Linked DNA regions of Styela clava. The protein of the gene in region 1 interacts with the protein of each later gene in a pairwise test. Links are inferred from orthologs where the notes say so. Each region holds a gene or a part of one and is shown on either strand. Other genes may lie near its edges.

What was found.
Region 2: the proteins of cysteine protease ATG4B-like (region 1) and gamma-aminobutyric acid receptor-associated protein interact in binary tests that used the Caenorhabditis elegans proteins (3 or more experiments, as listed by UniProt). The link is inferred for Styela clava from reciprocal best matches to the Caenorhabditis elegans genes atg-4.1 and lgg-1.
Region 3: the proteins of cysteine protease ATG4B-like (region 1) and microtubule-associated protein 1 light chain 3 beta-like interact in binary tests that used the Caenorhabditis elegans proteins (3 or more experiments, as listed by UniProt). The link is inferred for Styela clava from reciprocal best matches to the Caenorhabditis elegans genes atg-4.1 and lgg-2.

The regions. Positions count from the first base shown.
Region 1 is NC_135251.1:22,062,102-22,069,579, forward strand, and holds the start of cysteine protease ATG4B-like, read right to left. Parts: upstream 3,014-7,478; 5' UTR 2,672-3,013; coding exon 1,433-2,671; 3' UTR 511-1,432; intron 465-510; 3' UTR 1-464. UniProt on the Caenorhabditis elegans protein: Cysteine protease required for autophagy. Cleaves the C-terminal amino acid of ATG8 family proteins lgg-1, to reveal a C-terminal glycine.
Region 2 is NC_135256.1:5,678,851-5,686,388, forward strand, and holds the start of gamma-aminobutyric acid receptor-associated protein, read right to left. Parts: upstream 3,115-7,538; 5' UTR 3,028-3,114; coding exon 2,938-3,027; intron 2,585-2,937; coding exon 2,506-2,584; intron 1-2,505. UniProt on the Caenorhabditis elegans protein: Ubiquitin-like modifier involved in the formation of autophagosomal vacuoles (autophagosomes). When lipidated mediates tethering between adjacent membranes and stimulates membrane fusion during autophagy. Recruits lipidated-lgg-2 to maturing autophagosomes.
Region 3 is NC_135263.1:18,745,369-18,752,641, reverse strand, and holds the start of microtubule-associated protein 1 light chain 3 beta-like, read left to right. Parts: upstream 1-4,227; 5' UTR 4,228-4,307; coding exon 4,308-4,344; intron 4,345-4,978; coding exon 4,979-5,034; intron 5,035-5,249; coding exon 5,250-5,356; intron 5,357-6,465; coding exon 6,466-6,640; 3' UTR 6,641-7,273. UniProt on the Caenorhabditis elegans protein: Ubiquitin-like modifier involved in the formation of autophagosomal vacuoles (autophagosomes). When lipidated mediates tethering between adjacent membranes and stimulates membrane fusion. Less effective at promoting membrane fusion than lgg-1.

The DNA.
Region 1 (7,478 bases):
TAACAGTGAAATTTACATCGATCATAACATAAGATATATTTGTAAGGATTTAATAAAATGAAATAAATTTGAACACTAACATGACAAAGAAAAACTTGAAAACAAATTATGTAAAATACAATTTCAATATCAACCAGTTTCCCTGGAGTATTTAATAACATCAATTTATTAAGAATATAGAAAATGACATTACTCATTACCTTAAAAATAAGTTTAGAGACATATTTAAAGAAGTTGTATTGTACTGGAAACAATGAACAATTCCCTTTAGCAGCATGTTTTGTTTCATTTTTGTTTACATGTTTTTTCACATCATCAAAGAATATAGGTCTGATATTTAATGTCATGGGTCACCAAAACATGCCATAAAAAATATTGTAAAATTCATTAGAATTATTTCAACACATTAATAGGTTGGATCAGGGTTTCCCAAACTTTTTGGGTCGCGGACCCTGTTTGTGAATCTAATTTTTGACGGACCGCCATCATATTCCATATCAATTTCTGTGCCTAACCAACAAGGGGGGATATCGTTTCATTTACAACACAAACGTCATTAATGTAATAGATGAAGTTGCATACAAAATCAGCATGCTGTTTTTCACTGCACAATTTATCAATTCTCAGGGCAATTTGTTACAAGCAAACTAGGTCTGACTCTACAGTAAGTCTCGAGCTGCATTTTGTCATTAACTGTTAAGAGCCGAAATTGCTGCCTCACACATGTAGGTCGTTGCAGAAGGCAATATAATTTTAATTTTTGACAGCAATGGATATTTGTCACATCGCTCAAACAAAAAGACGCGAAGGCTTTTTGACTGAAATCAATCATTAAAGATTGATCACACTCTTTTCATATCATTGCATTGCACCCCCTGTGCAGTTATCATGGACTCCCAGGGGTCCGTGGACCCCAGTTTGGGAAGCCCTGGGTTAGATGAAAAAAATCATAAGGCATCATAAACAATTCATGAATATACACATAGGCATGTATAAAGTTGTAAAGAAAAGCACACCATTTTAAGTAAACTTGAAAAATTAAGACCTGCTACATAATATAATTCTACATCTGAGATATTTCCGACCGGGTAAACCGAATAGTTTACACCAGGGGTGGGCATTTAAGACCGTACTGCAAAGTTTATATGCAATCAGTCCATATTTAAATGTGAAATGGTGGAAAATAGAATCATAAAGAAACAGTCTCAATTTATCAGGCCGCGATATCATGGCTAATTATTTTATACTCTAAGAGGATTGTCGAGTTGCACAAGAAAGTAGAGTATTTCTCAATTAACAAAAGCGTATCTAAAATGTGCTCAGGGAACACAAATTTAAATTTAGTAAAATGTACTTTTTGGTCAGAATATCATGAAAAAGTCCAATCGTTCAGAATAAAAATAATTACATATGAAATTTGTAAAGTCTCTTTTCATAAAATCTCTAGAATCTCAAATTCCTCATCAACATCATCCAAATCTTCATCAGAATCGAGGGTTAAACATGCATTTTCATCCTCCGTCATATCTCCAGTTCTTTTTTTAAAAAGGTTATGAGCCGACACAGAAACCACTTTTGATTCTACTACAGTACATGTTGGAAATGATTCAACAACACCAAATAATGGTAAGCTTTCTTTAGATGACTTCTGTGTTTTTACTCTCTCACATATTCCTTCAAATTCTTTCTTAGTTTTGCATAGAAATCCTAACGCTAAAGAAGGATCAAGGTGGGACATTGGCATTTTACTAGGATACTCGCAATGATAAGAATTGTCATGTTCTATTTCAACTATTTTATCATCCCATACAGCAGCTGGTTGGGTAGTATGTGGGTCAAGGAAGACCATGTAATCAGTGTTTGTATGTCCAATAAAATAATATGCATGATTGGGCTTTCCACCAATTATTCCAACACTTTCTTTCCAAGTTAAACATTCCTTGATATTTTCAAAATATACTGGATTTATCTCTGATAGTCCAAGTCGTAGTGGAATAAATAAAACTAAAGGTTTCCATATTTTGGCTGTATTTGTACGACACGATGATGAAGGTTGATCTTCCTGTTCATTAGAGATAGAGAACGAAGTTGCACTGTTTTCAACTGAAGAGTTCAGACATAATTTTTCCACATCTTTCGTGCATATTGTGTTGTCCATCGCAACATAAACAGTGATGTCATTTTTGTTATCAAATGCAGACAATTTTTTTAGGACCTGAGCAATCGTGTTCGGGCCAAACCATTGACCGACTTCTTTTCCTTCTTGCACTCCCATTTGTGCAATTTGATGTATTGAGTAACAACTTGTTCGTTCATCTGCAAAATCTTTCAATACTTCATAATATTTAGACGACTGAAGTTCGTTTGGTCGCCACTTCCATTGTGGAGACATTTTTAACCTAAGCAAAGTTTGAGCCAGCATCATTTGGCCGCAGCGCAACATACATCCCCAACCTGAATCACTGGTTGGTCCTGTCCCACCAATCGAATCAAATCCTTTTCGATATGTAAACCATAGTTTGGATTTTGCTGCCTCGCAAAACTGTTCTCTATCATTTGGCAGGACATATTTTTTCCCCATTAACCAAATAATTTCATTGTCTGTCCACGAATCTTCTTTTGACAAAACATTTTCATATGTTAAGCAAGAAAAATTGGAGTCGCCTTCCATGTCTAGATATGCAATTACATATAGTATGCAGGTAAGGTATGCAACTACAGAACTAGGAATGAATGTAGATGTAAGTTAAGATGGAGGAGTACTAGGATTCTCCACAATTACCCTGAGGGGAAGAAAGTGGAATAGACGACCTAATTGGGTCAATGCCTACTGGCACACCTTATTCTCTCGCCGGGGCTGCATTTCAGATTACAGGATTACTGTAAGCAATTACCTTGTCTGCAATGAATAGATCAGTATGCTCCCGTTTACAGGTTTATGCAATCATTGAAACATCTAATCGCAGATTTATTACTCGTTTTTCGCAATGATTAATTGAAGAAAACACATAAGGAAAAACATTAAACAAAGACTCTGATAATCTTCCATAATAATTTCGAAGTGATCAGGACTGTTAAATAACAATCTTAATTCTTATATCCTTTTTTGAAGTTAAGTGACTGAACTACAGAACTAGGTGCGCTATGATAGTTTATTTCAACTCTAGCTCCTACAAGTGCGATTACTTCAGAGACGAGCAAAATAAATCAACGTTTTTTTTAAATATCCCAGTGCCAATAAAGAATATAATAATTTTGTATTTTTTGTCCATATAACAGTGTATTAGATAGTTTTGGATGCCAATTCTAATTTAGGTTAATATTGAGTTCGGAATACAATTGCATTATTTGAATTCCGTTTAGGTGGAGAAAAATAAGTATACAATACCCATACAAAAATTACAAAATATTTCACACATTCAATATCAGCAATTCATTGTAGTTCCAATAGAGTCGATCGTTGTCCCAAATGTCATCATGGTGAAGATTATAGGATATGTTTTATATTAGCATGGAAAAACAAAATTTATAAAGATTAGCCAGCTAATTTGAATGGGGTACCTATTAGGGTTAGTTCGGATACCTATAATTTTTATTATCCGCATAACGGATATAACCGGGTATTCTGTATTTTAAATATCCGGTTAACCAGATAGTTGCTGCCGATTTCGCACGATTTTAGCGGCGAATTGACCAAAAACCACCACACAGTTCTATTGTAAATACTCACATATGTATTATTTTCCTTGAATAAGAATGATTGTGCATTTTAATATTGAATGTGTCAATAAATGATAATTTAAGTTATGTAATCGTACCGATGTACAGCGGAATAATAAAATGAAACATGTTTTGAAAATATTGTGTCCTAATTATTTTTTCCCCGACTGCTAAGTTATTTTCTCCTATTCAAATAATATGTAAAGATTTATATTATTTCTAATTTATTGTTAATTTTTTTAAAAGCTTCTTTTGTGTCTAGAGCCTCTTTTCATTAAATTTTGACTCGTACTAAATTTTAGTGTCGCAGACTCACAATGATCATTTCTGATCATCCGCACCTTCCTATCAATTGCAATGAAATTTAATATTGTCATGTATAGTATTTTGTGTTCTATAATATTTTGTGATTTCTTGCACGACGAAATAAACTTTGTTAATATATACCACAAGAGCATACATATAAATGAAAACACGATCACAAAAAATCGTGCATTTCGAACATTTGATTTCGTTGAGAGAAGTATCCAAAAAAAAATAGAATATAGGGGGGACCACTTCCGTGAAGTGTATAAAAAATATAAGTAATCTGAACAAAAATTTTAATAACAAAGCAAATTGATGGTTTTGAAAATACCAAAGTGGTCAGGAATTTCTTCTAATTTGAAAACTTCACTTATTTAACATGTCACTGTAAATATTCTCACGTTTGTACTAATTAGGCCACAACTTCAAATCTATTTCCATTCGAATATCTTTTAAACTAAATTAACAGAGCCAAAACAATGCTGCGCCAGTTTTTGAACAACTTTACTTACCACCCTCAATGAGTAAATGAAAAACATGACACGATACAAAGTCTGTCAGATTAAACTTTGCTGAAATATTATAGACCATTTTACAAACAAACTTGTTTGGGAAAGTTCCATGAAAACCATAAATGTAATAACAGCCCTTCCTCCTCTTTTTAAAATTTTTGAAAACGTCACTAAGGCGGTCGAATTTTACTGGCTAATTTTGTCATCATCGCCGATCGTTTTCTTTATTTGGGGAGTTAATATCGGCATTATGCCAGTTTTAATTTGAAAAGAAGTTACATTCCGTGACAAGTTACCCTTGTTGTAAATTCAGTAAATACGATTATTACGAAATTTTGGCGATTCAACAGCGCCTAAAACAGAGTTTTTTTTATCTATCACTGGCTCATAAATCAAGAGTCGTGATATTTTCCTTAGCATTTACTTCCTTATTTTCAGTCAAAAATGTGTGCTTCAGATCTACTCTCTTAACGATAGATAGATACGACGATAGATAACATACTGCGCCATTTCAATTCCAGGCGAAATAATACAATTATCCGCGTTATATACCGATGAGACTGAACCCGACTTTTCTCCCGAAAAGCTAATTAATCTGCATTTATTGTACTAAATAAATTATGCTCATTGGAATTGCAATAATAACTCAAATTTGATGAATTTGCAAAATCGCAAAAATACGAAATTGGATTTATTTGTGCAGCTTACCACTTATTTTCATATCTAGAGTAGAAATGCTTTTATTTTAACGTAAGTCGGGCTCTTCTATAACGCAAATACGCAATAATCACATTTTTCTGCATGTTTTGTGATGTAATAGTCAAGTTCACTCCAGCATTACACGGATGACTAAAATATAGGCAGAGTAGTGTGGATATTAGTGATTATTATATGCTCTGAGAGATGTCAGTGGCCACTCAACAAAAAATATAAAAATCACTAATGCGCATATGCATTATTTATACTGCTCTATTATCCGGTTAATCGTTACAATAATATCCGGATATCAGATAGCAAAATACCTCTTGGTTAACCGGTTATCAGATAGCAAAATACCTCTTGGTTAACCGGTTAACCGCTACTCGGATAATCCAACCCTAGTACCTATCATGACAAGAGGATTTTACTATTTCCTGTCTACTGGTCTATGTAAAAGGTTTTATTCATATCTAATCAGTAATCAGTAATCAGTAATTTATTTTATCACCAAGAAATACACACTGTACATACAGAACGAGATAAGAAAAGAGAGGAAAATAATGCATTTCAGGGTGAAAGGGGACGCGATAAACCAGCATTGGTTATCGAGCAACGACACCTATGAATAGTCTAACATTGGGTTATACAAGAACAAAAATCGAACTAAATACAGTACTAAAGTGAGGAGTCGGACGCTAAAATACTAACATTGGCAGAAATATGTTCAAAAAGACCGGATATTTCCGGACTCACTAAGCAAACGACTCCGAACGCCGACTGGCAGATAACCATGACAACTACGGCACAAATACGGTAACGTCTAAGTGACTGGAGCACCATATTGCAAGCTGAGTTGGACGGTACCGGCACTGTGCTGATGCATGGTTCATAAAGGCTGGGGACGAATTTGTACACGAGGATAATATGAAGAGAGAAAAAAGAATAAAATGTATCTACAGGTTTGGGCAACAGATTAAGAGATCACTAAACCAGGTAATTGCATTGAGTTACATTACTTACAAATAGTCATTTTGTGTGGCATAAATATAACTAATTTCAGAATTTTAAATCACAACGGTTCTGAAGTGCGATCGAATAGGTCATGTAGAATATAGAAATCATTGAATTAAAAAAATGTATATACACAACAGTTCAATAGGACGGTTCATGCAGAATTTATGTCAATAAATTACATAAATTTAAAGTCACAGCAGTACAATAGCCTACTATGATAAGGCAATTCATGCAGAATATATAAGTCACTCAATTATAAAAATGAAAAATTCACCGAATTACAAACATATAAAATAAATATACTAATAGTATGGGTCAGTCGGACAGCTGTAGTAGCTGATCAACATAATCCTATTTTGGCCTAGACTGTGCTGTCAAATCTACTGGAACCAGAATCCTGGCATATGCTGCCTCTAATTTTAGAGACATTTTGTTTTTTGAAAAAGCGTAAATGTACCTCCACATATATCTGTGAGGGCATAAGTGAGTCAGTATATTAACAATATATATCAATAAAAGTATTTTAAGTAGATATCCGAAAAATTTGCCAAATAAACATTGATAATTCCGTTTATTAAGAATAGTAAAATGTTTATTACAGGTTACTTGGACTCGAGGACTGTGGATCAAGTCGAGTAAACTCATTGTATGATCAAGTAATCCTGGAGAATTCACTTTGCAAATTCAACTGGACCGGTAGGTGGAAATCATGAGTTTTTTATACTCTATTTTGAAAGCGGCATAAGACGAATCACGTAGGGTTTGGGGTAGGTTATTCCAAATTCGCACACCTATGAATTTGAGGGACTTTTGGGATTTGGCAAGTGAGAAGCGAGGAACAAAGTAGTTACGCCTTGTTGAAGAACGAGTGTTATGTTCATGCACTGAACTTAGCGTGACAAAATAATTGTCAAAAGCTGCTGGTAATTGATTGTTTTGAAATTGATGCATAATTTTTGAGATTTCTAGTTTATAGATGTCAGTCAATTTAAGCACTCTAGTTTTATGGTATGAATAATTTAAATTCGAACGATATGGTGCTCTAGCGAGGATTCTAACGGCTCTATTCTGTAAAACCTCTAATCTATGCATGTTGGACTGAGTTGTAGAGCCCCAAGCAGCTATGGCATATTGTATATGAGATTGAAAAAGTGCAAAGTAAACGGTTCTCAAGGTGGAATTTTGTAAATAATTTTTTAGCTTTCCTAAAATCCCTACGGATCTTGA
Region 2 (7,538 bases), on another chromosome or scaffold:
CATGATTGGCAATAATAGAAGTTCAAAAAAATAGATTAAATGTTAGACATTTCCTTTTTAACACTTATTGTTATAGTATAGCAACACGTTTTATGACAATTTTTACTTTACAGTTTGCATATTCAAATCAATAAATTTGAACTATTATTCTTGTAGTATTCTTGCTAAGTTCCGCTGATGTGTAATGATGTATACAAGAACGAAAAGATTTTCAAAGCTGATACTGTTTGGTGTTTGCTTATCTATTTTGATAAAAAATATTTTTAATTATAGAATATTAAATATTCCTTATCTGGAAAGGTGGATAAAAAATTTGAACAAACAATTAGAATGTATTTCATAATGCAGAAAATACAAAAAAAACATGCTTTCATGTAAATTTTTAATTTTCTGCAGTACTCTACAAAGTTTCCAAAATAACAATTTTCTGAACGAAAATTAAAAATATTAAAAGATCTGATTTACATCGAAAATTTTAGAATGCTGTAACATAGTATATAGTTATATATCAGTGTTTCCCAACCTATTCGTTGCCACCCAAAACTTGGTTTCTTCAACAAAAAACAAAAAGTTAATAATTTCATTTTTGGGTAAATTTTATTGTTTATTTTGTATCTGGTATTGAAGTGTTGCTTAAATGCATGAGAAGTATCACAGCGTGAAAAATATGCAGCATTCATTTTGTTTTGCTCAAGGCTGGCTGCACACAGACACAGCATCAGTAATATTCGACAAAAAATATTTTTATATAATATATTTATCACTAACACAACAAAAAATATTGCTTCGATAGCGCACACTGACCGTTTCTGTTTTTCAATATTTCTCCGCGCGCCACTTCAATATGTAAGGCAAAATTTCTGTCTTGCAATAACCAACAAGATATTAATTTTATTTTCAAGTAAATTTTATTGTTTATTTTATATTACCGGTGGGTATTAAAGTATTGCTCAATAGCAATTGTATACGTGAAGCATTTATGTGTTTTGCTTCAGAAAACTACGCCACGATTTCAAAACCTCGCTGAGGGCAAACTAGCGCATCTTTCTCACTTTATTTTATATCAGTTCTTCAATTTTCCGGCCATAAAAGTACTACATGACGTTTAGTATTTGAGCATAACCTTGGGTTGCCAGATTTTACAAATTTAATTTTTTCAAAAATTTGGGTCGCTAGAAAAAACGGTTGGGAACCACTGGTGTATATAACATAGACGAGTACATGGAAGTTTGTACAATTTGTTTGAATATCACAAAGCTAAGTAGTGATTGTATACGCTGCACAATCATCTACAGCTGTCCGTGAGCCGGTATGTTGTGATTGTCACATCACAATCCATCGATACAATGAGACATACTTTTGACACCAAATTGATCTTTAGTTCAAACTATGTTCAAGCATGGGCCGTTTATAAACAAGATATGAACAAACATTTGACCATCAATAATTTACTTGAGTATGATTCAGTGATGTATATGTGATTATTCATAATTATTGAAGCATGACTCAGATCCATGTCATGTGACTTAGTCTTATGATGGTTTGTGAATAGTATAACAAAGATCACGTAAATCGGCGCTCCAGAATATGGAGGTAACTAATTTTGTTTGCCTACATTACATCAAGTTGTATAAAGTGACTAAAATCTACGGGAAGGGGGTATATTCACTTGGCTAACACAGGCAGTCTCCAAACTTGTAATAGAACTAAAGTAAGGAAAATCAGAATAAAATTATGGCCTAACCATAAACTGGTACACACACTACGGGAATACTCCCTGCTACCATTAATAAGAATATTTAGTAAATACTCAAAATAAAGTGCATTTTAAATTATTAAATTCTTCCATATCGAATCATGGAAGGGTAGGCGATACAAGGTTCAATAAAAATTAAGTTGGGTGGAAGCTGTGATATCTTATTTCAGTTTCATTATGATCTGATCAATATATATATAATTATTGATAATCTAAATTAATCGATTTGGTCTCAGCGTGTGATCTAATTACATCAATCTTAATAGGATGAGACCTACTCTGTGTGTTTATAGAAGGATTAACTTTACTTGTACACAAACTGGCTTTTATGTTCAATATTGTATATACAGGGTGTCCAAGTCCCTTTACAATTCCAATACTGTTATGAAGTCAGTTCTCAATATATCTTAACCAATCATAACAAGGTTTGTTGTTTTTTTAATCAGTAATTGTTTATTTACTTCATTTGTATTTTTAATTCATCTAATACATTTGTGAGTGCCAAGACAATAAGACATCGATAAATTCCCTTTGCAATTTTAAAATTTTTTTCGAGACTTCATGGTCACTAGTTGTATTTGGACTAGCACATGGTCTGTAAAATTTTATTTGAAGAGCAGGTGGCCATGAAATGGTCAGAGTCTTTGAAAGGGGGTTACGGAAAGTTCAAGAACCACTGCGCTAGTAAAAGCACATAAAGTAAAAGCTTTGGTTCATAACAACATTGGACAATCTTGAAATAAATCTACCTGTTAAATCTGATGGAACAAGATATTTCTTTTTATCCAAATCTCCAATCTTTGATTTTTCTGCCTTTTCTACAATTACCTGGTAAAAATATAAGAAATTTTGTCACAAAGTATATTTGTAAACTTACTTATCATAGCTCAACTTAATCTGCTACTTAAAACAAGATAAAACCTATAACATCATATTACAGTATTATATAGTAATCTTAGGGGGGCAAATAACAATATTATTCTCCAGTATTGCTTGAAGCACACAAGTGGAACCCATTGCCAGAGAGAGGATTTATCAGAGTCCAGCTGTTAATTGTTTGTTAAACTATAAATCAATATAATATTTAACAAATAATAATATACGAATCTGTCACACACCATTAAGTGGAACAAAACCTGGGAATAAAAAGTTATTTATTTTAAACCATGAATAAAACTCACAGGAACTCTATCAGGATACTTCTTTCTTATTTTTTCCCCTTCACTTCGTCTCTTCTCAAAATTGTGTTCTTCTTTGTAAACCCACTTCATCTTGAAATAACTTTGATGATAACGCTCAAACAAACAACGCAGTGAATTACTGCAACGAGTTATAATTAGCTTCCTATATAGATATCTGAAGTAGAAATTAACAGCTTAGAACATGGGTTGGCAAATTATAGCTCGCGGGCCAGATCCGAACCATCGAAGTGTTTTAACGGACCTATTTGTAATTGCTAAAATTACGACTATAGTTTTTTATGAATATAAATTTCTGTTGGTAATATCGAAAAAAACAACGTCATAATGACCACGATTGTTACTTTTGCTACTTATTATTGAATAAACGTTAGCCTAGCTGTTGGACTAGCTTTTGTAAATGAAATGTTTTTTTTTTTTTTTTTTGAGCCTACGGCCCAGTAACCAAGTCTACTGTAACCTGTAATAAGGTAATTATCCACCTCTGGCTTGGAATAAAGAACTCTAGTCACGTAAAAGAGGCTATTCATATATAGATTGCATTGATACAAGTTTATTAAAATCAGGCATGGACAAGTGCATGCACATTCCCCAGAAGTTCAATGTAACACAGTACTGCAGTAACACATTTCTCGAACTATTTGAAAATAACCAGCAAATGCTAATGATTTATGTTATAGAAAGGAAACCTAGAAATGATGACTGGTGTTATTAAGCTCCGTTCTATATTCAAAAATGGAAGGACTAAATATAAAGCAAATGATAAGAACATTTTATTTCAAGTGCCTTCAACAAAAGCTAATAAATTAAAAGTTTAACAACCAAGCAATAGGAGATGCTTTCCAAACATGAAAAATATTTTTGGATAGCGTAATCAGATGGGGGTTAGGATTGGGATATCGAAAAATTGTTATGCTTCGCTTACTAGAAGTATGTTAGGTACGAAACTACACCAGACCCGATTTAACGAAGTATATACAGATATAGTATACAGGCTTTGAACTATTCCACAGTCAGGGCCGTCGTAGCTTCATGAAATATATACAGATATAAATGTACATGCTATCCTAAGCCAAATCGAAATGTTAAGGCAACCAGCATAGCAAGGTGTGCTATTGAGCAATCAAGCATCTTTGAGTAAGATTTAAAACGTAAGACGTGGTACATGCTCGTTCACAAATCAGCAAGTTGAATAAAATTAGAACAGAGAAAAGCTAAACATAAGAATATAAGATATATACCTTAGTAAATAGAAAATATACAAACAAAATAAAAAAATAAATTTTGTCAAACCATATTAATAATTTTGTAACTGTAATCAGTCAACCACAGTATACTCAACAATAAAATACCTGGTAGACAAATTGCATATTTCTGTTATTGAAAAATTGCAAGAAGTCACAAACAGACAAAGTCACCAACCATCCATTTACAGAATTAATTACAGCTGTACCAATACAGCCCATAATGTAAAAGTCCAAAATTAATTCGGAACAGCAATAATCAGAACAATATCACGCCCTTATAGTCCGACAATATTTATCTGTTTACATTTGTTTCTTTGTCCCCTTCAATCAATCAATTTATTTTGGTCACTCTAAAAGAAACAAAACAACAACAAACAGAATGCAGAGGACCTGGAGGACGGGCATAACTTAATAAAAAAAAGTTAAAAGCATACAAGTACGTGCCCGTCCACCAAAATCAGTCAAAAGAACACAAAATATCTATCTTAAATAAATAAAGACACGATGTAAAATCGTGCAATGCCCCTTCACCGTATCCGCCTATAATATCACTGACCTTTTGGGCGAAGGATGGGGAACGAAAAGTGAAGTTAAACAGACAAATTCAGGATATGCAGATTCAGTAATTTCAGAATTTGGAGCATTTAGACTACATTACTATAAAGTATTTTACAACTGTCCCAATTTGCGACACAATCTTCTTTTTTTTTTTTTTTTTGTGCCAAATAAATTCCAATGCCAAACGGAATTTTCGTATTAATATTTTGGTATCAAATCATTTTATTATAAATATATAAATAGATATTTTTTTGTTTCCATGTTTTTGTTTATCATTTTTTAATTTAATCCCATTCCCCCCAATACATATGAATAGTAAAAATCAAAATAAAGACAAAATTCATACCATTACCATTGCTTTAGAAACAACCCTTCTGCGATGTCGACTTTGTATAATGGCAACTAGTTCCTCAAATGCTGACCAACAAATATTTTTAACGCTCGTCACAAAATTTATACTATATTTTAATCATAGGTTATCAATAAATTTATATTCAACAAGTTTAAGTGCTATTTTAACATTTCAAACCCCAAAATACCGTCAAATAGCAATAAGTAAGCTTTGTAAATAGTGTCGATGCGGATGAATACTAGCAGTCAGGAGAGTAATCATATGATTTCATTTGTTTATATCGATTCGGTTCATTGCATCACCAGGGACTTCCTTGGTGTTCCCTTTGATCGCGTCCTGTCTGACTTAAAATGAAATTGCACCACAATCAGTAATGGAAATATGACATTTGTATCATCACTGCTGTCAGTAATTCTGTAACGCTATGATGCCATGGGAAACAATAAGCAATGTTTTCTATGTCGGCCCCGTTTGAAATGTTATATATTCAGATATTTTATTTCTATCGTGCAAGAATCACCACAAAAATTAAAGCACGTAAAACTGTCAAAAGTATATAAACAATCATGAAAAAATGTAATTATACACAAAGGAAATTAAAGTAATTCGATTTGAACTTCGCTGTGAGACAAAAATGGCGACACACGAGACAGACATACGGGGGATTCGGGGAAGTTTCTGAAACTTCAAATTTGGTTTTTAAAAAACGAAAAAGTAAAAGCACTACATGGTCAATCTCACCATGTAACATAGGATGAAAGCAACGACTGGATGAAAGTGAAGAAAACGGGACCATTTCTCTAACTCAACCTGGGGTTTGTGAGCGTTGTGTTAACCAAATGCCAAACCACCGTTGTGGTTCTTGAGTTTTTCAACACTAAAACACGTGTAGAATTGTGCTTTTTTAGGAGTAATCATTTATCTGTTGTTTTTGTCGTTTCTTTGCGATTCGCTTCCTTATATTAATCATAGTGTCACGCATCATAGTGTTTTGAGGGACAAGTAGATGTGATGAACTGAATGAAGATCAACGACTAGAATATGGAGATATCAGTTAAAATGACAATGGAGAGTTTTATTTCTGTGTGGACAACTTCATAAAAATAATGGTTTATCATTCCGCCAAACGCAATTTATGTTGACTAAAATATTTCACGGACTGCTTTTATAATGTACCGGTAAATATGCTGCGACCCTTGTTGGGGAAATTCAATTTTGCACAGAATCATGTTCACATTAGTCGGAACATTTTCTATTAGGATTTACATATTTATCCCGGGGGAGAGGCGAACCACGGCCTCTCGTCCGGTTACGTCGGATATGGGATTAGTTATATTGTTTGTTTTCGGAAGCATGAACTTGGTGGTGGAGGAAGCCGTAACCGACCAGCGTTTACGTGAATCACCCAACGACGGCGAGGAGTCTAGCGATTCTCTCGCGCATAATCATCCCTGCATGGGATTCGGACCTGCGAACCCACGCAGAGTAATTAGAGGTGCGGTGGCGAGCGTATTCCTAACGCTTAGCCCGTTGAGCCACACCGCCGCGCCTATTAGCGCCAATCAAACAATTACTTCAGTTGTCATTGGGCTGTGAACGTTTCGAATTCAGCCGGTTCTGTTACAAAAAGTCATTGACAGGAACCAGTAATGCTAATCGGTTCGCTGATCTCATAAAATTCCGTGAGACGGTTCTATAGAACCGATGCTAACCGGCTGAATCCCACCACTGCCTAAATCCCATACAAAACTTTTGAAATCCCAAATATAACGCTACTCGTCAGCTGATAGATAGATAGATATTTTTTTTCGATGACTCCACAATATGATAATACAAGTAAAATTAAAAATGGAGAATTCTGGAGAGCGAGCGAAACCTTTAAAAAAGTTTAAAACACGATGAGTATCATGTGCCCGCCCACCAACACGCATTCACAACAAAAAACACAAATCTTGATAAACAAGGCTTGGGCCAAAAATAAACACACACAAAAATACGCGTATGTAATAAACTTTCGGGGTGTTGTATACTTTTAAAATACTCAAGCCAATAAGGACTAATTCGATCTGATACAAAGACAACGTGTGTAGGTATAATGTGATAAGGTGGCGAGAAGGGTCAAAAAACCATGAAAACTACATTGATTTGGCATTGGTGAAAATGTGGTACAGTGAATCCAGAAACATACAAAAAAAAATCAAAACAATGCTGGTAAATTCTACGCTCAGGCAATTATGAAAACAATCTGATCTGACTAATCACTCGTAAATATGTAGGCTCATGTAATCAATGAAGCCAATGTTCTTAAAAACAGTAAACGCACAAAACAAAAACAATAATACGCCATAAAATGAATATGTAACAACATTATGAATTGGTATGATTATATCGGATCGTTCGAATGCTCATTTAGCCTGTTATCAAAG
Region 3 (7,273 bases), on another chromosome or scaffold:
GGAACCCGTAGCCTAATCCTAATAGTATTAAAAGCTCGAAAACGACGTCCGAATTTAGATCCAAGCTTAAGAGACATTTATCGGAATTCTATTAGATTTAGTGAGTTAAGGACATCCTACTTTTCCGACATTACTTTTCAGATACAAAGGGTACATAGCAGAAAAGAACTACAGCGATGAAACATACCCCCAATCGATTAACAATGTCATCATGAAACAAACCTCCATTGATCGGAAAACAAGTTTCGAGACCCCACGGATCTATTGTCTCTCTATCTTGCATAGTTTTATTGTTCACTTACTTCCTTCGCTGTATCGTCAATTATGCAAACTAGGTCATTCATTAAAAATTCATAATTATCATGCTGGGACATGGCGGCAATAAATTTTACACAATAGCGCTGAAAATGGCCGCATTTTATGCCAGACTCTCTATTGTTCCCATATGTTTGGTCCAGTGCAAACTATGAAACTCAGGTTTACCAAAGGTTTTCTACATTAAGCTTTTTTAAAATTTTCTCGTGTCGTGGCCCCATCCAACGTTGGTTTCTGGCAATTTTATATCCCGAACAAATCTTTACCTGTTTCGTGAGACTTAGTGTAAAAACATATCAATTCAGCGACCCATACCCTATCTCCATCTTTTCACACCGGAACCTGGGATATGGACGTGCCATAAACTGACTATTGTACATATCGCCGTTGTGCCGTACCTCTTTTTCTTGTGTATTTTACTAGAGTTTTATTTGTATAATCAATTTCATGTCTGTTGTCCTAGTTCTAGTATAACGCAGCAGTCCTAAACTGCAGTTATAATTGTTAGGGGTACATGTCGCACATCTGTTCTGTGTCTTAGGCCAGTAAGGTCTTGAACATGTATCCTGTCTCTGTAAAATTCGTTACCCCCCCCCCCCCTTTATCGCAAACATTTTCTGAATCAAATATGCTGTAGTGTATATGGTAGTATAAGTCTGCTGAAAACTTAAAAATTGTCATTAAATTAATCATAAACCTTTCATACTATTACTAGCATACGTTGTTCGGGGTAACGTTATATCTTTTTGGGTCCAGCCTTCCTTGAAGTTACCTTACCGTACCTAATAAACGTTTTGGGAGCTAATGCTCAATTAAAATTGCAATCCACGGTAAGGATCTAGAAGTGTTTAATAGCTTACGTAAAATTTTTGCACAGTCTCATCATAACTTTACTAATAATAACTAAAAAAAGACGATGAAAGAGCTACCTACCTCAACGCAAGAGCGGGCAGTACAAACTGAGATTCATTCGACCTCGGGAATCCACCTACACCTGGTAAAATTTTATTGTTACGCCATGCAGAAGTCTGCGTTCATTGACAAATGTTGCCGAAAAGCAGAGATTATAGGACAGATATTTTTTGTAGTAAAAGCGTCTTTTTCGCAAAACGTGCAATTTTTCAAGCACCATTTTAAAATCATTTTCTGATAGTTCACTTATGTGCGCTACGAAACTGGAAGATAAACGGCCTCGTCTCACGGCTATATTGGTTATCAAGGGCGCGACTGAGCGAGGATTTTTTCCATTTATAGACCTTGAGTTCAGAAAAGGATGTAGGAGTTAAAGTTGTTATTTCACATGATCACTTCGAAATTAACACGGGGAAAACATCTGATTTCAAATTTCTTCATCTAGGCTTCATTTGATCATTGTGAAGCCGTCTGGAAAACGAAAAGTAGCTCTGCGACTTTTACACAATATCGATTCGACTTGTTCTCTGTGGGTTCAGCATTTGGGGGTTCATGAGTCAAATTTTTATGTCTTTCTACTTTTCCGATACTCTGGCACGGAGATCGGAAAACGAGTTTTGAGATAAATAATACTGACCAGCGGTGGCGTTAAAGAATTATGATTTTTTTAATCATCTGATCAGATGACGGACTAGCAGAAGTAAACAAAGAAGACTGTTGTTGCTCCGCGAACGGGCGAATGTATGGCTTCCATTTCGACTGCTGCTGCAATGTCGATTCTATAGCTTGTGCTGAAAATAGGTGGGATGTGTAATGTGAAGAACTTTATTGTATTCTTGTATTAACATATATTAATAAAAAAAAAATAGGTGGGATGTTCTTAGTCTTGAAGTAAAACCTAGAATTAGACACATTTTTGGGGATGACTTATGGGTTTTCTGCTCACAAGAACCAAGTTTACGTCATATTTAGTTTGGAATTGTCCCTCACATACAACGTTTATGATTATGTTTTTTCTATTGCTTGGAAAATCCATCATTGTGTATTGAAAAATAATTATATTAGTCTACTTGTATTTTATTAGATTTGAATCATCAATGTTACTCACATCTGTCAAACTTAGAACGTAATGCCATTGTCTTATTAGTTATTACAGTATTATTCATGCTATTCTGTCATTGCTGTATTCTGGTATTGCACTGCCAGACATAAAATTTGGCTAGAGACCGTAGAGAGGAATTCAGTCATTTTTTGAAATGTTGACCCAAGGGTAAACAATGTGATGATGAAATCAAGAAGAAATATTGAAAAGTATAGATAAAATCCTAAATTTACAAAAGAACTCAATATTCTGATATTATACTGCTGTACACTGAAACTCATAGAAGTTTAATTTGTTTTTTCTTAATAAATATTTAATGTTACTTATTGAATAATGTACTGACTGACAATTATTGCGGAAAATACATGCTGGTTATACAGTTATAACAACGGAATATTATATTGAAAAATGGAATATAACAGTATAATGCAGTAATGGAAGTATGGAACAACTCTCTGACTCTACTGATAATGTATTCGTGTTTTAACACAGTAACATGTATATACTTATTGCAGTAGTTATTGTTATTCCTACTGTCATATAATATTTTATTTATTCTTTAATTATTGATTAATCCACATTGCGGAATCATAAAAAATAGGTGGTTTGAATGATAAAAGTTTTGATTAGTGTTTTCCCCAATCAGTGTTTTTGAGTTTACGTGCATATAATTTGAAGATTTACAGTACCAACATATCTTTGAATTGAGCTTGTGTGTATCGTGCCTTCTACTTTCTGATCCTTCTTTCTCACTTCTGCACTTTTTCACCCTAGCTTTGTATCAAATTGAATAGGTTACTGTAATTTTAGTTTAAAGAGAATTAAAAATCCAATGGCTCAAAACTTAATTTTGACTCAAGTCTCATCTACCTCGACCATCGCTTGATGGTGTGGCGCATCATGCTAAGCGTTAGGAATACGATCACTACCGCGCCTGTGATTTCTCTGCATGGGTTCGCAGGTTCGAATCCCTTGCGGGGTAAATTATATGCAAGAGGAATACTGAACTCCTCCTCGCCGTAGTGTGGTTCACGTTACCGTTGGTCGGTTACGCCTCCCTTCGCCATCTGAACATCAAGCCCATGCATCTGAAGAACAAAAAACTGGCTAACTAATCTCATACCCGACATGGACCGGACGAGACGAGAGGCCGAGGTTCGTCATATAAATAAGCTGTATTACCACCTTTCCTCTCCCTCCTAAAAATGTAAATCCCATCTTTCCTCCCCTAAATATGTAAATCCCATCTTACCTATTGACCTAGGTTTGTGTTTTCACTTAACTCTTTGTGCTGTTGTGTGTGTTGATGAGTAGACGCATGATATTTCTCATGCTTTAAACTTTTTCAAAGGTTTTCCTCACTCTCCATAATTAACTTCATTTTATGATTTTAAATTTGTTTGTATCCCTGAGTTTTCAAAATGAATTATCTATAAATTTTTTGGTTTTGTTGAAATTATGTAGGCTGCCTGTATGCTATGGGATCTCATTTGTCCGACAAACTATCATAATTAGCCTGTTAGTAAGTTTATATGAACCATTGCACCATATACACATTTACACAGGGCTTCTAGAAACGATTAAACTACAGCAGGTAGTTCTGTAGTTTAGATATTTATATACAATTTCACCACGACAAATTGCTATGTTGCAATATAAAAAGTGATGATATTTAAAAGGCAATGATAGATATTGTAGAAGGTAACAAATTCAAGCTGTTGCATATCTGAACATAGATATTTGAGTTAAGCCGATTATCTCGCTGGTACCTACAGACTGACAGACCTATGGCAGTACAGTTTGTTACTTTATATATTAATTGAGGTGTTCACTTATTTTAAGGAGAGTTGATTTGCATTTCTGAACTGATTTCAGATATTTATTCAAACATTTTATTTAACAGATTTCAGTTATATATTAAATAAGATTACATCCAGATAACAGTATTCTGGTTGGTTTGACAAAGTTACAAGGAAATATGACCGAGCGAACATTTAAGCAACGCAGAGCATTTGGTGGGTTTAGTAATTAATAAAATCTATATTTTTTTATTTAAATTACCCAATGATGGATTATGTTGGTTGTTTATTACTTATCAATCTTTAGATCGGTAAGTATGTTGATAGGTATTTGTTTGTTTGTCTGTTAGATGCACGCGATATCTCACGAAGGCGTGAATCTGCTCCAAATTTTGCATGTGCATTCATCATATCTCGGACCAGAAGCCTATTGATTTTGGATGAATTATGTCGCGTAATTAGCGAGTTATCAATTAATTAGTGGTGGGACACGCGGTGTCACTATAGAGTCATGAATCGAAACCGCAGTTTCGATCGATAAGTCTTCGGTCTCCGACCGATCATCTTGTTAAAATGTTCGTTAATTGATAGCTTTTTTTCTAAATAAAAATATGTTTCATGCCAATTCTTCAAACTTGTGGAGGCTTATTATGACATAAATATTTAGTTTGAATGGCACTGAAATTTGAAGAAGTTTTGCAAAATGTTGTACAATTCAGATAATTAAAATTACTGTGAAATTAGCACGATGTTTCACAAATTTCATGAAATGAGGTTTGAGTTTTAAAGTGATAATGATTCCCAGCTTAGATGATTATTGTGTAATTTAAAATGCTGTTTTCAAATTTAGATGAAAGAGTTTCTGATGTCCTACAGATTCGTGAACAACATCCCAACAAAATTCCAGTGAGTATTGTTATCATTTTCAAATTTTTTTTACACGCAAATTCCAGTTGTTAAAGTTATCAATTCATAATTACCGTATGTTAATTTTTAACAAAATAGATTTCAATGGTTTTTGTGGACCCATATCACAGCAAAGAAAAGCCTATTTGAGATTTTCAAAGAAAACCTAATATTTTCATATATAACTTGTTTAATTAAAATATATATTTTCACAGGTGATAATAGAGAAATATCATGGAGAAAAGAATTTGCCGATACTTGATAAAACCAAATTTCTTGTGCCAGATCATGTCTCGATGTGTGAATTGGTGCGAATAATACGGTGGGAATTTGAACTTTACTGTAAAACGAAGGCAATCAATGGCTTATATTTTATCGAGTCACTGTATGATGCTTATTACTCAGAAGCATGACTCTTTCAGCCATTTGTTTCCATTTTAGATTACTCTACTCAGATAACAAATTATTATCTTGGCTATGATGTCAGTGAAGATTAGTTTACAAAGCTTTGAAGAAACCAAAAATATATACAGCCAGTTTAGCCGGCCGATAGGAGCTAATTGTGCAAAATAAAATTTCTATAAATAAACTTTAAAAAATATATGTAATACCTAAGAGGTAGGCTACTATAGATCATAGGTTCTCGTAGTGGTCCATACGGGGCCCCAGTACCACGTGAGAGAAATATAGGGGCTCCGTGAGCTATTTGTTCACTAATCAAAATACTTGCTTGGCTAATTTTGTAATTGCCCGAAGAAGTAATAACGTCATTTTTAAAATTTGACGATTTAATGATACATCCGAACCATTAAATAAAGTAATTTTTATTTACTCAGGAATGTTAATGCCCTCATAACAATGTGTTTTTGTTTTTATTTTCACCTTTTTCTTTGTGGGGATGTGTGAATAATAGTCATTTCACATCGTCACAAGAGCCATACACATCAAAAACACATCTGCACGCCAATTAGATAAAGAGTGAACAATACATCTGGGAGATCTGTAGGGTTTATCTTTTCTGATGATTAAATACAAATTGATTCTCTCTTTTTAAAAGTTGCATTTTCTTTAGTCCATATAAAAAATAGTAGCATTATTTTATCTTTTGTGTTAAAATTTTTTTTAAATCCACCATGCCATTCTAATGGTTGTTTGAATTCTTGGACTTTGTGGCCTACTCCACATCAAGTTGTGTAAAGGGATGGAAGCCTATGGGCGGGGGGTATATTGACTTGGCTAACACAGACAGTCCCTGAACTCGTAATACTACTAAGATTAAGAAAATCGGAATAAAATTATGGCCTTACCCTAACCTGGGACACATACTATGTGAGTATCGTGGCAGGAATAGATTTTAGAATATTTCGATATATTCTGTAGGATGATTGGAGGAAAGTATTATAAAGTTTGGTTGTTTTAATCTATTTTCAGGAGAAGACTTCATCTGAGTCCCAACCAGGCATTTTTCTTGCTTGTCAACCAAAGGAGCATGGTCAGTGTTTCATCACCAATTTCTGAGGTTTACGCAGTAGAAAAAGATGAAGATGGATTTTTGTATATGACTTATGCATCACAGGAAGTGTTTGGATCAATTAATACATTGTAAAATAAATGTGCGATTTAATTTTATGTCTATAATTGTAATATTTTATCAAACTTTTTATTGATGTGGTGTCATGCTATTTGTAATGGTTGTTCATTTTAACCAGAATATTGAGTCACGTTTTTCAAAATCTTAGAACAAAATTGTAAATTATTCGAGGTTATTTTTTGCATTACCTTGTGAAATATGATTTGACCTGAAGTGAACATACATACTGTATTGCTGATTTGTTGTATGTGGAAATAATCAGATGCATTAGACACCCAAGCTACAACTCATTCATTGGTTTTTATTGGCTGTTAACTAAATCATAAAAATGTGATATTTTCATCAATATTTTTTATCACACACTTTCTGCACTTGTATATTTGTATATATATTGAATTCTTTGCTCATTTTAGCATGGTGTTTGTACTATGTGATATGTCCTCATGTAAACAGTCTGTATTATTTTAAAAATGGGATTGTGTTTCAAATCAATAGATTTCAATGAGTGTTCAATTCAGGGGGACAAGTTTTGTTTAAATTAAAAAACATATGAAGTTTTTATCAAATTTATAATCTGTAGAATAGTATTCTGTAAAATGCGTAGTGTTATTCCTTTGGGAAACACTTGTTTTAAAACGAAAATAAAAA